3 linked regions of the Saccharomyces cerevisiae S288C genome follow. The gene in region 1 interacts genetically with each later gene. Each region holds a gene or a part of one and is shown in the gene's direction. Other genes may lie near its edges. The genes, in order: CTK2, ACE2 and CAK1.

Evidence for each region.
Region 2: of CTK2 (region 1) and ACE2, a mutation in one rescues a mutant of the other (synthetic rescue), as found in Saccharomyces cerevisiae (one study listed by BioGRID).
Region 3: mutations in CTK2 (region 1) and CAK1 together harm fitness less than expected from each alone (positive genetic interaction), as found in Saccharomyces cerevisiae (2 studies listed by BioGRID).

Annotation. Positions count from the first base shown.
Region 1 is NC_001142.9:422,492-426,124, reverse strand, and holds CTK2 (Ctk2p), read left to right. Parts: upstream 1-2,015; coding exon 2,016-2,987; downstream 2,988-3,633. Other genes in the region: CYR1 (adenylate cyclase), read right to left, coding at 1-968; YJL007C (uncharacterized protein), read left to right, coding at 3,113-3,427. UniProt on the Saccharomyces cerevisiae protein: Cyclin subunit of the CTDK-I complex, which hyperphosphorylates the C-terminal heptapeptide repeat domain (CTD) of the largest RNA polymerase II subunit.
Region 2 is NC_001144.5:404,726-408,486, reverse strand, and holds the start of ACE2 (DNA-binding transcription factor ACE2), read left to right. Parts: upstream 1-1,664; coding exon 1,665-3,761. Other genes in the region: bifunctional choline kinase/ethanolamine kinase CKI1, read right to left, coding at 1-42; USB1 (phosphoric diester hydrolase), read left to right, coding at 332-1,204. UniProt on the Saccharomyces cerevisiae protein: Plays a role in regulating basal-level expression of CUP1. Activates EGT2 transcription in the absence of SWI5.
Region 3 is NC_001138.5:77,500-80,996, reverse strand, and holds CAK1 (cyclin-dependent protein kinase-activating kinase CAK1), read left to right. Parts: upstream 1-1,835; coding exon 1,836-2,942; downstream 2,943-3,497. Other genes in the region: GTPase-activating protein GYP8, read left to right, coding at 1-578; putative ATP-binding cassette family ATPase CAF16, read left to right, coding at 784-1,653; AGX1 (alanine--glyoxylate transaminase), read right to left, coding at 3,009-3,497.

The DNA of each region.
Region 1 (3,633 bases):
TTAGATACGTTATGTTGGAGAACATGACTACCCGACGTCGCCATACTTGCACTGTCACTGTTAGTCATTGAACTGACATTTGAACCTCTTCTACTGCTTGAAGAAGATGTGGAGCCTAGCAGAAAGCTTTTTCTGTGCGAGCGTTTGCTATTGGGAACATCGGATGAATGTAATGTATTTTCTGATTGCGCAACAGCCTTTGGTCTAATCTGTTTATCTGCAATACCATTATTTATATCATGGACGGAAGAACCACGTACCAATGAGGACACTTTCCTTCGTAAAGTGCTTGGCACGTTATCAGCCAAGTGATTAGATAAAGTGGAGTCTTTAGAAGGTTTCCTATTAGCAGGTGCAGGATTTACCGTTGAAAGGGAAAGGTTAGCAACTTTACTTTCCTTTCCTGACTTATTGCCATCGTGACTGTTTGACCCTGAAAACCTTTTGAATAGGGTTTCCGCTAATGATGGCTTCCTATTGGGAAAAAACTGAACATGATGATGATCATGATGACCGTCATGATGGTTATGAGTAGATGTGTAGTTGTGCGTCTTGGATGAATTCAAAGCGTAACCGTGGTCTTTATTATCATCATGAGTACTATTCGCGCTCGTCATTGAAAGACTGCTCAATGTTTTCTTCAGTAAATATGGACCCCTTTTGATTTTCGGTTCTGTCGGCCTTGGATGTTCCACGTTCGAAATACTTACATCATCCATACCATTTGGAGTGATACTCTCCCTGCTTTTGGTCATAGAAAGCGACCGTGGGCTGTAATAACTATATGCGCTATTCCTTCTTGATTTGTGACCACTATTTTGTTCGTGACGCTTCTTGACTTTTGGTACCTCATCATGAATGCTTCTATCGTTTGCTTCCGTAGGTGAGCTCTGCTCTATCTGTTGTTCTTGTTCTTCCTGTCGCTGAGGGCCAGAAATTTCCGAACCAGTATCAGGTTTTGATGACATTTCGACCTAGGGATTTCGTTTGCTGTTGCTTTAGCTCGTTTCGCAATGGTTAGCGACAATAGTAAAGATATGCTATTTTTGGTTGTGAACTGCAGCAAGAGGTCTCCTTATGCTTTCTCTCCTCTGTTACTATACTTCCCAGCTGTCTTTACTGAACTTTGGAAGAAAATACACTTTTTTAGAGTCGCTTTTCTTATGGTAAGTCCCCCCTGCTTTCCTTCCAAAATACAAAAAAAAAAAAAAAAAAAAAGTAAGAAAAAGGAAGTGAAAAAATAAGGTTATGATTGAATATTTAGGTTTGATAGAGGAGAAAGTAAGGAAGGTCTCAGTTCAGTCTGCCATTCCAATTTGAAACATAGAATTTCAGTGATTAACAATGCAATTGAACAATTGAACACAGAGAAGAAGAAGAACGAGAACTGACTCTAAATCTGGCATTTTATCCTTTTTTATGGCTATTTACATTGGGAGCTAGGCGAAATGCATATTTGTTTACTTTCTGGCATTTACAAAATCATTTTTTAAAGGGTATGACCTACTCTAATGCGCTTTTCTGTAGAACAACGCAGGGAACGGTATTTGATGTTTTCAATGATGTATGACTTATATAACATCTATTTCCTAGGATTTTTAAATAAGATGGAGGGTTGGCCGAGTGGTCTAAGGCGGCAGACTTAAGATCTGTTGGACGGTTGTCCGCGCGAGTTCGAACCTCGCATCCTTCAGTATTTTTTGTCCTTATCTTTTTGCTGCACCGAAAGCACTCATGAAGTCTACGGCTTGATGCACACCGTTTGGGAACCTTTGCGATCCCACGTACCTAAATGGTCCTTTTCGGTACAACTTGCTGAAGAATCACTGTGTGGCGGGTAATGCTCTCTTTATACTTGCATTGCGAAAATCCGCGATGATCAAAAATCCAAACAAGTACTGTCCTGAAAGCCGTCTTTATACACATAGATATATATATATATATATATATATCTGTATCTATAGAGCGAGAGGAGATATAGAGCCAGCAAAACTAAGAAAATTACGTACTTTGATATGCCTAGCACGTTTGAATCCCAGCTTTTTTTTTCGAGACCGTTTCTGTCTAAAAGGCAAATTCAAAGAGCCCAAAAGAATACAATATCGGACTATCGAAATTACAACCAGAAAAAACTTGCCGTGTTCAAATTTCTAAGTGACTTGTGTGTTCAGCTGAAATTTCCACGGAAGACTTTAGAAACAGCAGTATACTTTTACCAAAGATACCACCTCTTTAATCGCTTCGAGACCGAGGTTTGCTACACTGTAGCGACAAGCTGCCTGACTTTGGGCTGTAAAGAAGTTGAGACAATTAAAAAAACAAATGATATATGTACTTTGTCATTACGATTGAGGAATGTGGTTAAAATCAATACGGACATTTTGGAAAATTTTAAAAAAAGGGTATTTCAAATAGAACTTCGGATATTAGAGTCATGCTCATTCGATTATAGAGTCAACAATTACGTTCATATTGATGAATATGTTATAAAAATTGGTAGGGAGCTATCCTTTGATTATAAGTTGTGCAATCTGGCTTGGGTAATTGCTTATGATGCTTTGAAGCTAGAAACTATTTTAGTCATACCCCAACATTCCATTGCATTGGCCATTTTGAAAATAGCATATGAATTACTAGATAATAAGAATTGGTCAAGTAAAAGGTATTCTTTATTTGAAACAGACGAGAAATCCGTAAATGAAGCTTATTTTGATATAGTCAATTTTTACATCAATTCATTCGATATGTGCGATCTACAACGTCATTTACCGGCTGATTTGCTGCCGATTGGCGTTGAAAGGTTTATGGAACTGAAAAAAAACGCAGGACCAGAATCTGGATTGCCGCAAATACCAGATCACCTGTTGAATGCCGATCCTTATATCACTATTACTAGAGATAATAATGTCCAAGAAAGAAGATATGTACTTTCACTGGAGCTAATTAATGGCGAGTCCAGCATAAATAGTTCTACAAGACATGCATAGAAAGTCCTACTATAAACTTAAATAAGATCATCATTATAAACTTTCTTTTACACAAGTAATAAGTACCTTTTTTTATCTCAAAACATGAATGTTGAGCTTCGAGGTTTAATTCACAAAAAAAGAAAATGTGCTCCAGGGGAGGTTCGAACTCTCGACCTTCAGATTATGAGACTGACGCTCTTCCTACTGAGCTACTGAAGCATACAAAGGATGTTGGGGAAGAAAAACAAACTTTACATCAAATATTTGCGGATTCCATGGTTATTAAAGGATATAGCACCGGGTATACAGGACATACTAGAAGTTCTCCAGGGGATCTTGTAATCCACAAAAGAGAATTGATATTTTCACATAATATTGTCATTATTGTTTCCCCAATTTATATGATATCATTCATTATTCTGTTACACTATCAGTCCTGGCATTTCAGCATCTATTAAATCTGATGACTGTTTTCTCAATCTTCATGCCATCTTGGTACATCGTACATGATAATATATTAGTAATATGAATACTATTCGATAGATTATAGTTGATCCTCATTAGGACATCTATCGTAACAATGGGAATGTTCATATCATACATTAATTTATACGAGTTGTTCAGACAGTAGTATAAGGCAAAGATCTTTTACTTGAAAGGTTAA
Region 2 (3,761 bases), on another chromosome or scaffold:
CGAGTAACTTCTTACACTCCCTGGACGTGATTCTTGTACCATCTTTTGCTCTAATTTTACGTGCGTATCTATGTGTGTGTATTCTATAAGAGTACAAAAAAAAACTGTATATTGTTGTCCTAATTCTATAACTTTTCCATTTGGCTTATCCTTACTTACAGCCACAGAGCTTCTATTCTGTCTCTTCGAGATTTAACCGGCTGGGCCGACAAGAAAAACGGTAGAGCACCATGTGAATATTATACCATAAAGAACAAAGAACAAGAGAACGATCTGTTGGTGGTGTTCTAAAGTGAAGGAGGTTACCAATCGCTTAGAAGAAGACTGGCCTATGGAATTCATATCTGCAGACTATTCTAGCAGTGACGGTAGTGATACCGAGAGCGAAAGTAGTAACAAAAGTGAGGTCCAAATCGAATACACGGAGAAAACTTGCATACAGAAAGCCGATTCCACTGATTTACCTGCAATACCGGATTCAATTATATTGAAGTACCACATCCCTCCGAATTTACAAAAGTACGAGCACCAGGATATGAATATGAGTCGATTTTGGCGTTCGTTCACATATTTTGAGTGGCGTCCGACTCCAGCGATTCACCGACAACTTCAGAAAATCATATGTAAATATAAAGAAACATTTATGAAACAGGAATACACTAATCCGTATCAACTGGTGGATTTTGACCCGTTGTTCATCTCACACTTGGGAGCCCCCAAACCTTTACACGTTTCCTTAACTCGATCGTTGTTGTTTGAAACTGAAGAACAAAGACATGTTTTCATTCAAGAAATGCGTAATGGTTTACGAAATAATGAAATAACCCCTTTTAAACTTCAAATCTGCTCATATCCGAAGTTATATATATCAGAACGAGCCAACACCTTGTACCTCGGTCTCCCTGTCTCAGAATGTCCCAATAAGGCACAAATTTCTCCTTTCAAAACGATAATAGCTGAGGCACTTCAGAAATCAGGCATTTCAAACTATCAGGATTTAATTGTAAGTAGGCAAAATTTACATGTTTCAATTGCCATCGCTAGCAACCCTTCAAAAGCCACATTAAAACGTTATCAACAATTAAACGAGACGATGGGGGCGCTTTTACTACTCAATAATGACTTTGCATACAAACTAGAGTTCTTAGTTAACTCTATCTATTGTGATGAAAACCGTCACTCCATTAGAATCCCTTTTAACTAATAGTGTTATAGGAATAGCCGCCCAAAAATACCGGGGCACTGAGAGCGGCTCGTCAGATAGGTGAAGGTTGTCATAATATACGATATATATCTCAAAACGGCAAAATGTAAACATTGGCACTTTGGGAAAATTTCAGGACACTTTTGGTTTACAGGTAAAGGATAAGGATGCTTGTAGCTAGTAAATCAACTCCAGAAAGCATTTAGCCATTAACGGGCAAATATTAAGGAGGGAGTACTGTTTGTTTACTCGCAATATTTCTGTCCCTTTTCTTTCATTAAGGGTTTTATAGTACACATAAACTTATAACAACCTCTCTCGGCATTGTACCTAGCAAACAAAAGCTACGTTGCAGGGAGACTCAAGCAACAGTTAAAGTGCTAGAAGAAAAAAATACAAGGCATAAATTCAAGAAATAACTAAAGAAATCTATAGGACCAAAAACGGTGTTAATACAATCATGGATAACGTTGTAGATCCGTGGTATATAAATCCCTCAGGCTTCGCGAAAGACACTCAAGATGAGGAGTATGTTCAACATCATGATAATGTCAATCCTACCATACCCCCACCCGACAATTATATTTTGAATAATGAAAACGATGATGGCCTCGATAACTTGTTAGGTATGGACTACTATAACATCGATGACCTGTTGACTCAAGAGTTAAGAGATCTGGATATTCCTTTAGTGCCTTCTCCTAAGACGGGCGATGGTTCTTCTGATAAAAAGAATATTGATAGAACTTGGAACCTTGGTGATGAAAACAACAAAGTCTCCCACTATAGCAAAAAATCAATGTCCTCACACAAGAGAGGTCTAAGTGGCACAGCGATATTTGGATTTCTCGGCCATAATAAGACATTGAGTATTTCCAGTTTACAGCAATCCATTCTAAATATGTCTAAAGATCCGCAACCCATGGAACTCATAAATGAATTGGGTAATCATAATACGGTAAAAAATAACAATGATGACTTTGACCATATAAGGGAAAATGATGGTGAAAATAGCTATTTGAGCCAAGTTTTGTTGAAACAGCAGGAGGAGTTAAGAATTGCTCTTGAAAAACAAAAGGAAGTGAACGAAAAATTGGAGAAGCAGTTGAGAGACAATCAAATACAGCAAGAAAAGTTGCGTAAAGTATTAGAAGAGCAAGAAGAGGTGGCGCAGAAGTTGGTTTCTGGGGCTACAAATTCTAATTCCAAACCTGGATCTCCAGTAATACTAAAGACACCTGCCATGCAAAACGGTAGAATGAAAGATAATGCTATAATCGTCACAACGAACTCTGCAAATGGCGGATATCAATTTCCTCCTCCGACGTTAATATCGCCTCGGATGTCAAATACTTCAATAAATGGTTCACCATCCAGGAAATACCATAGGCAACGATATCCAAATAAAAGCCCAGAAAGTAATGGATTGAACCTTTTTTCCTCTAACAGTGGTTATTTGAGAGATTCTGAACTGCTTTCATTTTCTCCACAAAATTATAATTTAAACTTGGACGGCTTGACTTATAATGACCATAATAACACCAGTGATAAAAACAATAATGATAAAAAAAATAGTACTGGTGATAACATATTCCGTCTGTTCGAAAAGACTTCCCCGGGTGGGCTAAGTATCTCTCCAAGGATAAATGGAAATAGTTTGAGATCGCCCTTCCTCGTCGGCACAGATAAAAGCAGGGATGATCGATATGCTGCTGGCACGTTCACGCCTAGAACACAGTTGTCACCTATCCACAAGAAAAGGGAATCCGTAGTTTCCACGGTCTCGACAATATCACAACTGCAGGATGACACTGAACCCATCCACATGCGAAATACCCAGAACCCAACATTAAGAAATGCAAACGCTTTAGCGTCATCAAGTGTACTACCTCCTATTCCTGGTTCCAGCAATAACACTCCAATTAAGAATTCTTTGCCACAAAAACATGTATTTCAACATACTCCCGTCAAAGCTCCACCAAAGAACGGAAGTAACCTAGCTCCGCTTCTAAATGCACCGGATTTAACAGATCATCAGTTAGAAATTAAGACACCCATACGAAATAACAGTCACTGTGAAGTGGAAAGCTATCCGCAAGTACCACCTGTCACACATGATATTCACAAAAGCCCCACTTTGCATAGTACGTCTCCTTTACCAGATGAAATAATACCTAGGACTACGCCAATGAAAATAACCAAGAAACCAACTACTCTGCCTCCGGGTACCATTGACCAGTACGTCAAGGAACTACCCGACAAACTATTCGAGTGCTTATACCCTAACTGTAACAAAGTATTCAAGCGTAGATACAACATAAGGTCGCATATTCAGACACATTTGCAAGATAGACCGTATTCATGCGACTTTCCCGGTTGCACCAAGGCGTTTGTTCGCAATCATGATTTAATAAGACACAAAATCTCCCATAATGCCAAGAAATACATCTGCCCATGCGGAAAGAGATTTAATAGGGAGGATGCTCTAATGGTGCATAGAAGTCGGATGATTTGCACCGGCGGTAAGAAATTAGAACATTCGATCAACAAGAAACTT
Region 3 (3,497 bases), on another chromosome or scaffold:
AAGCTAATTCTGATTTCTTCGAGAACGATTTTGACCTGCGCCATGGTGCTATACAAACAGTTTTACAGAAAAAACTGTATGATGAGGCGCTTTGGGAAGAAGTCTTGCAAATAACTAGAAAAGATGCGACTACTGCCAGCAAGAAGGCTTTGAAACGGGTGAGTCTTAATAAATATAGTGCATTACTCAATACAGCATGTGGAAAGCCAGGATGCTTCGATATGAGCACCATTATCTTCTATTTGAGCGAACAAACAAAGATGAACGAGCATTACAAGGAAGAAAAGTATCATGGTGTCGCCGCCAGATCCAAGACAAGGGCGTTGGTCCAAAGACTTGGCCATTTTTTACCCTCCAAATATAACAGGTGGAGCAAAATTTCTTTACTTATCGGGATTGTAGCTATCCTGTACCAATTACGGACTACAAGGTCGTTGAGTTTAGTACTCAATCTACGTTACATGATCTCCACAAAGTTGAAAGACTTATCACATATAAATATAAATTTGCACCACGTTAGTCACATCTGGGTGGATCCGATTAGGGACATTTTGAAACTGGGGCATCCAACTAGATAGCATACAATATACCTTATATACCCATGACATAGAAACAAACTCATATGTAAGGTATTATTATAAAGTGCTTCTTTAAAATTCGCTGCGGAAATTTCTTCGAGGATGACTCAAATAAGAAAAAACGAAAATTCTGAAAGAGAGATTTTTAGTATGGAGAAAACCAGTACTCCTGCATAAGATATCAAGATATTAGATAACTCTCAAGATGGTTTCCCAATTTGCTATTGAGGTGCGTAACCTAACGTACAAATTCAAAGAAAGCTCCGATCCGTCAGTTGTTGATATCAATCTTCAAATCCCATGGAATACAAGATCTTTAGTTGTGGGTGCCAATGGTGCTGGTAAATCCACCCTTTTGAAATTACTAAGCGGTAAGCATCTTTGCCTTGATGGAAAAATCCTGGTCAATGGTCTTGATCCATTCAGTCCATTATCTATGAATCAAGTGGACGATGATGAAAGTGTTGAAGATTCGACGAACTACCAAACGACCACTTATCTAGGTACGGAATGGTGCCATATGAGTATCATTAATAGGGATATCGGCGTCTTGGAACTATTAAAAAGTATTGGATTCGATCATTTTAGGGAAAGAGGTGAAAGATTGGTTAGAATCCTGGACATCGATGTACGTTGGAGAATGCACAGGTTAAGTGATGGACAAAAGAGAAGAGTTCAGTTAGCCATGGGGCTCTTGAAACCTTGGAGAGTTTTACTACTTGATGAGGTCACTGTGGATCTCGATGTTATTGCCAGAGCAAGACTTCTGGAGTTTTTAAAGTGGGAGACCGAAACCAGAAGATGCTCAGTGGTCTACGCTACACATATTTTTGACGGCTTGGCCAAATGGCCTAACCAAGTATACCATATGAAATCAGGTAAGATTGTGGATAATTTAGATTATCAGAAAGACGTAGAGTTCTCTGAAGTGGTCAATGCTAAAGTTAATGGACAAGTGGCCTTTGAAAATGACAACAATAAGGTTGTTATTAGTAAAGTGAATAGTTTGCATCCATTAGCACTAGAATGGTTGAAACGTGATAATCAAATTCCTGACAAAGAGATTGGTATATAACTGAGTATATATAACTGCAAAGACCCCCTGTATAGAAAATATGTATCTTAGTGGAAAATGTGATTTGACTATTTAAGTTATAGAAGTAGTTTGTGATCCTAAAAAAAGGAAAACGACAGAAGTCTCATAGAAGCAAAGAGGCCAGATGAAGAAGAGAGGCAACAAAATTCACGCCCATCTTAATGAAACTGGATAGTATAGACATTACACACTGTCAGTTGGTCAAATCTACTAGAACTGCTAGGATTTATAGGTCGGATACATATGCCATTAAATGTCTAGCACTAGATTTCGATATCCCGCCACATAACGCCAAATTCGAAGTATCGATATTAAACAAACTGGGCAACAAATGTAAGCACATCTTACCTCTTCTAGAGTCTAAGGCTACCGATAATAATGACCTATTGTTGTTGTTTCCCTTTGAAGAGATGAACCTTTATGAGTTCATGCAAATGCACTATAAAAGAGATAGAAGAAAAAAAAATCCCTATTACGATTTGCTAAATCCCAGTATCCCAATTGTTGCGGACCCCCCCGTTCAGAAATATACTAATCAATTGGACGTCAATCGGTATTCTTTGTCCTTTTTCCGGCAAATGGTTGAAGGGATTGCATTCTTACATGAGAACAAGATCATTCACCGCGACATCAAACCGCAAAATATCATGCTAACAAACAATACCAGCACCGTATCCCCAAAGTTGTACATAATTGATTTTGGCATCTCTTATGACATGGCAAATAACTCACAAACAAGTGCGGAACCCATGGATAGCAAGGTGACGGATATAAGCACAGGAATTTACAAGGCCCCAGAAGTGCTTTTTGGAGTAAAATGCTATGATGGTGGCGTGGACGTGTGGTCGTTGTTGATAATTATTTCTCAGTGGTTCCAGAGAGAAACAAGCCGTATGGGGCACGTTCCGGCCATGATTGATGACGGCAGCGACGACATGAACTCAGATGGAAGCGATTTCAGACTGATTTGCTCAATATTCGAAAAGTTGGGCATACCGTCCATTCAGAAATGGGAAGAGGTTGCGCAACACGGCTCGGTTGATGCATTTGTTGGTATGTTTGGTGCAGATGGCGATGGCAAGTATGTACTGGACCAGGAGAAAGATGTACAGATTAGCATTGTTGAGAGGAATATGCCTCGACTGGACGAGATTGCGGATGTCAAAGTCAAGCAGAAGTTCATTAATTGTATCCTGGGGATGGTTTCATTTTCACCAAACGAAAGATGGAGCTGTCAAAGAATCTTGCAAGAATTAGAAAAGCCATAATAAGAAGAATATATAGGTACATATATATATATATATATATATATGAAATGAAAAGTACGAGGGTAATCACTTTTTCCTCTGAAGAGCTAGTTTTATTAAGTCGAAGCAGTTCTTCATGTACGGTAAATTCTTGTTGCAAGCGGTCACACCCATATGTCCAATACGGATATACTTGGGTCCGATGTCCTTGTGAATACCTCCGGCAATGACTACACCGTGTGACTTTAAAAAAGCAATGACATCAGGAGGATCTGCTACGTATACGGCTGTCAACCCGTGCGCAGACATGTTAGAAGGATACCTACTGACGGATGTCAATTGCAAGCCATTAACCAAACTGTCTTTAAACCAATCACTCATTTCACGGTGCAAATCCCATCTCTTATGCAACCCCTCTTCGAGAATTTCTTTCAAGGCTACATCAAGGCTATTAATTAGTTGTACGGGTGGGGTTGCAAAATAAGCTCCTTTACCAGCCTCATAATTTTCCATTATTGGTGTCCATCTTCTCAACGAGGAAAAATACCCATGTACATGACCATTTTTGCTGTCGTT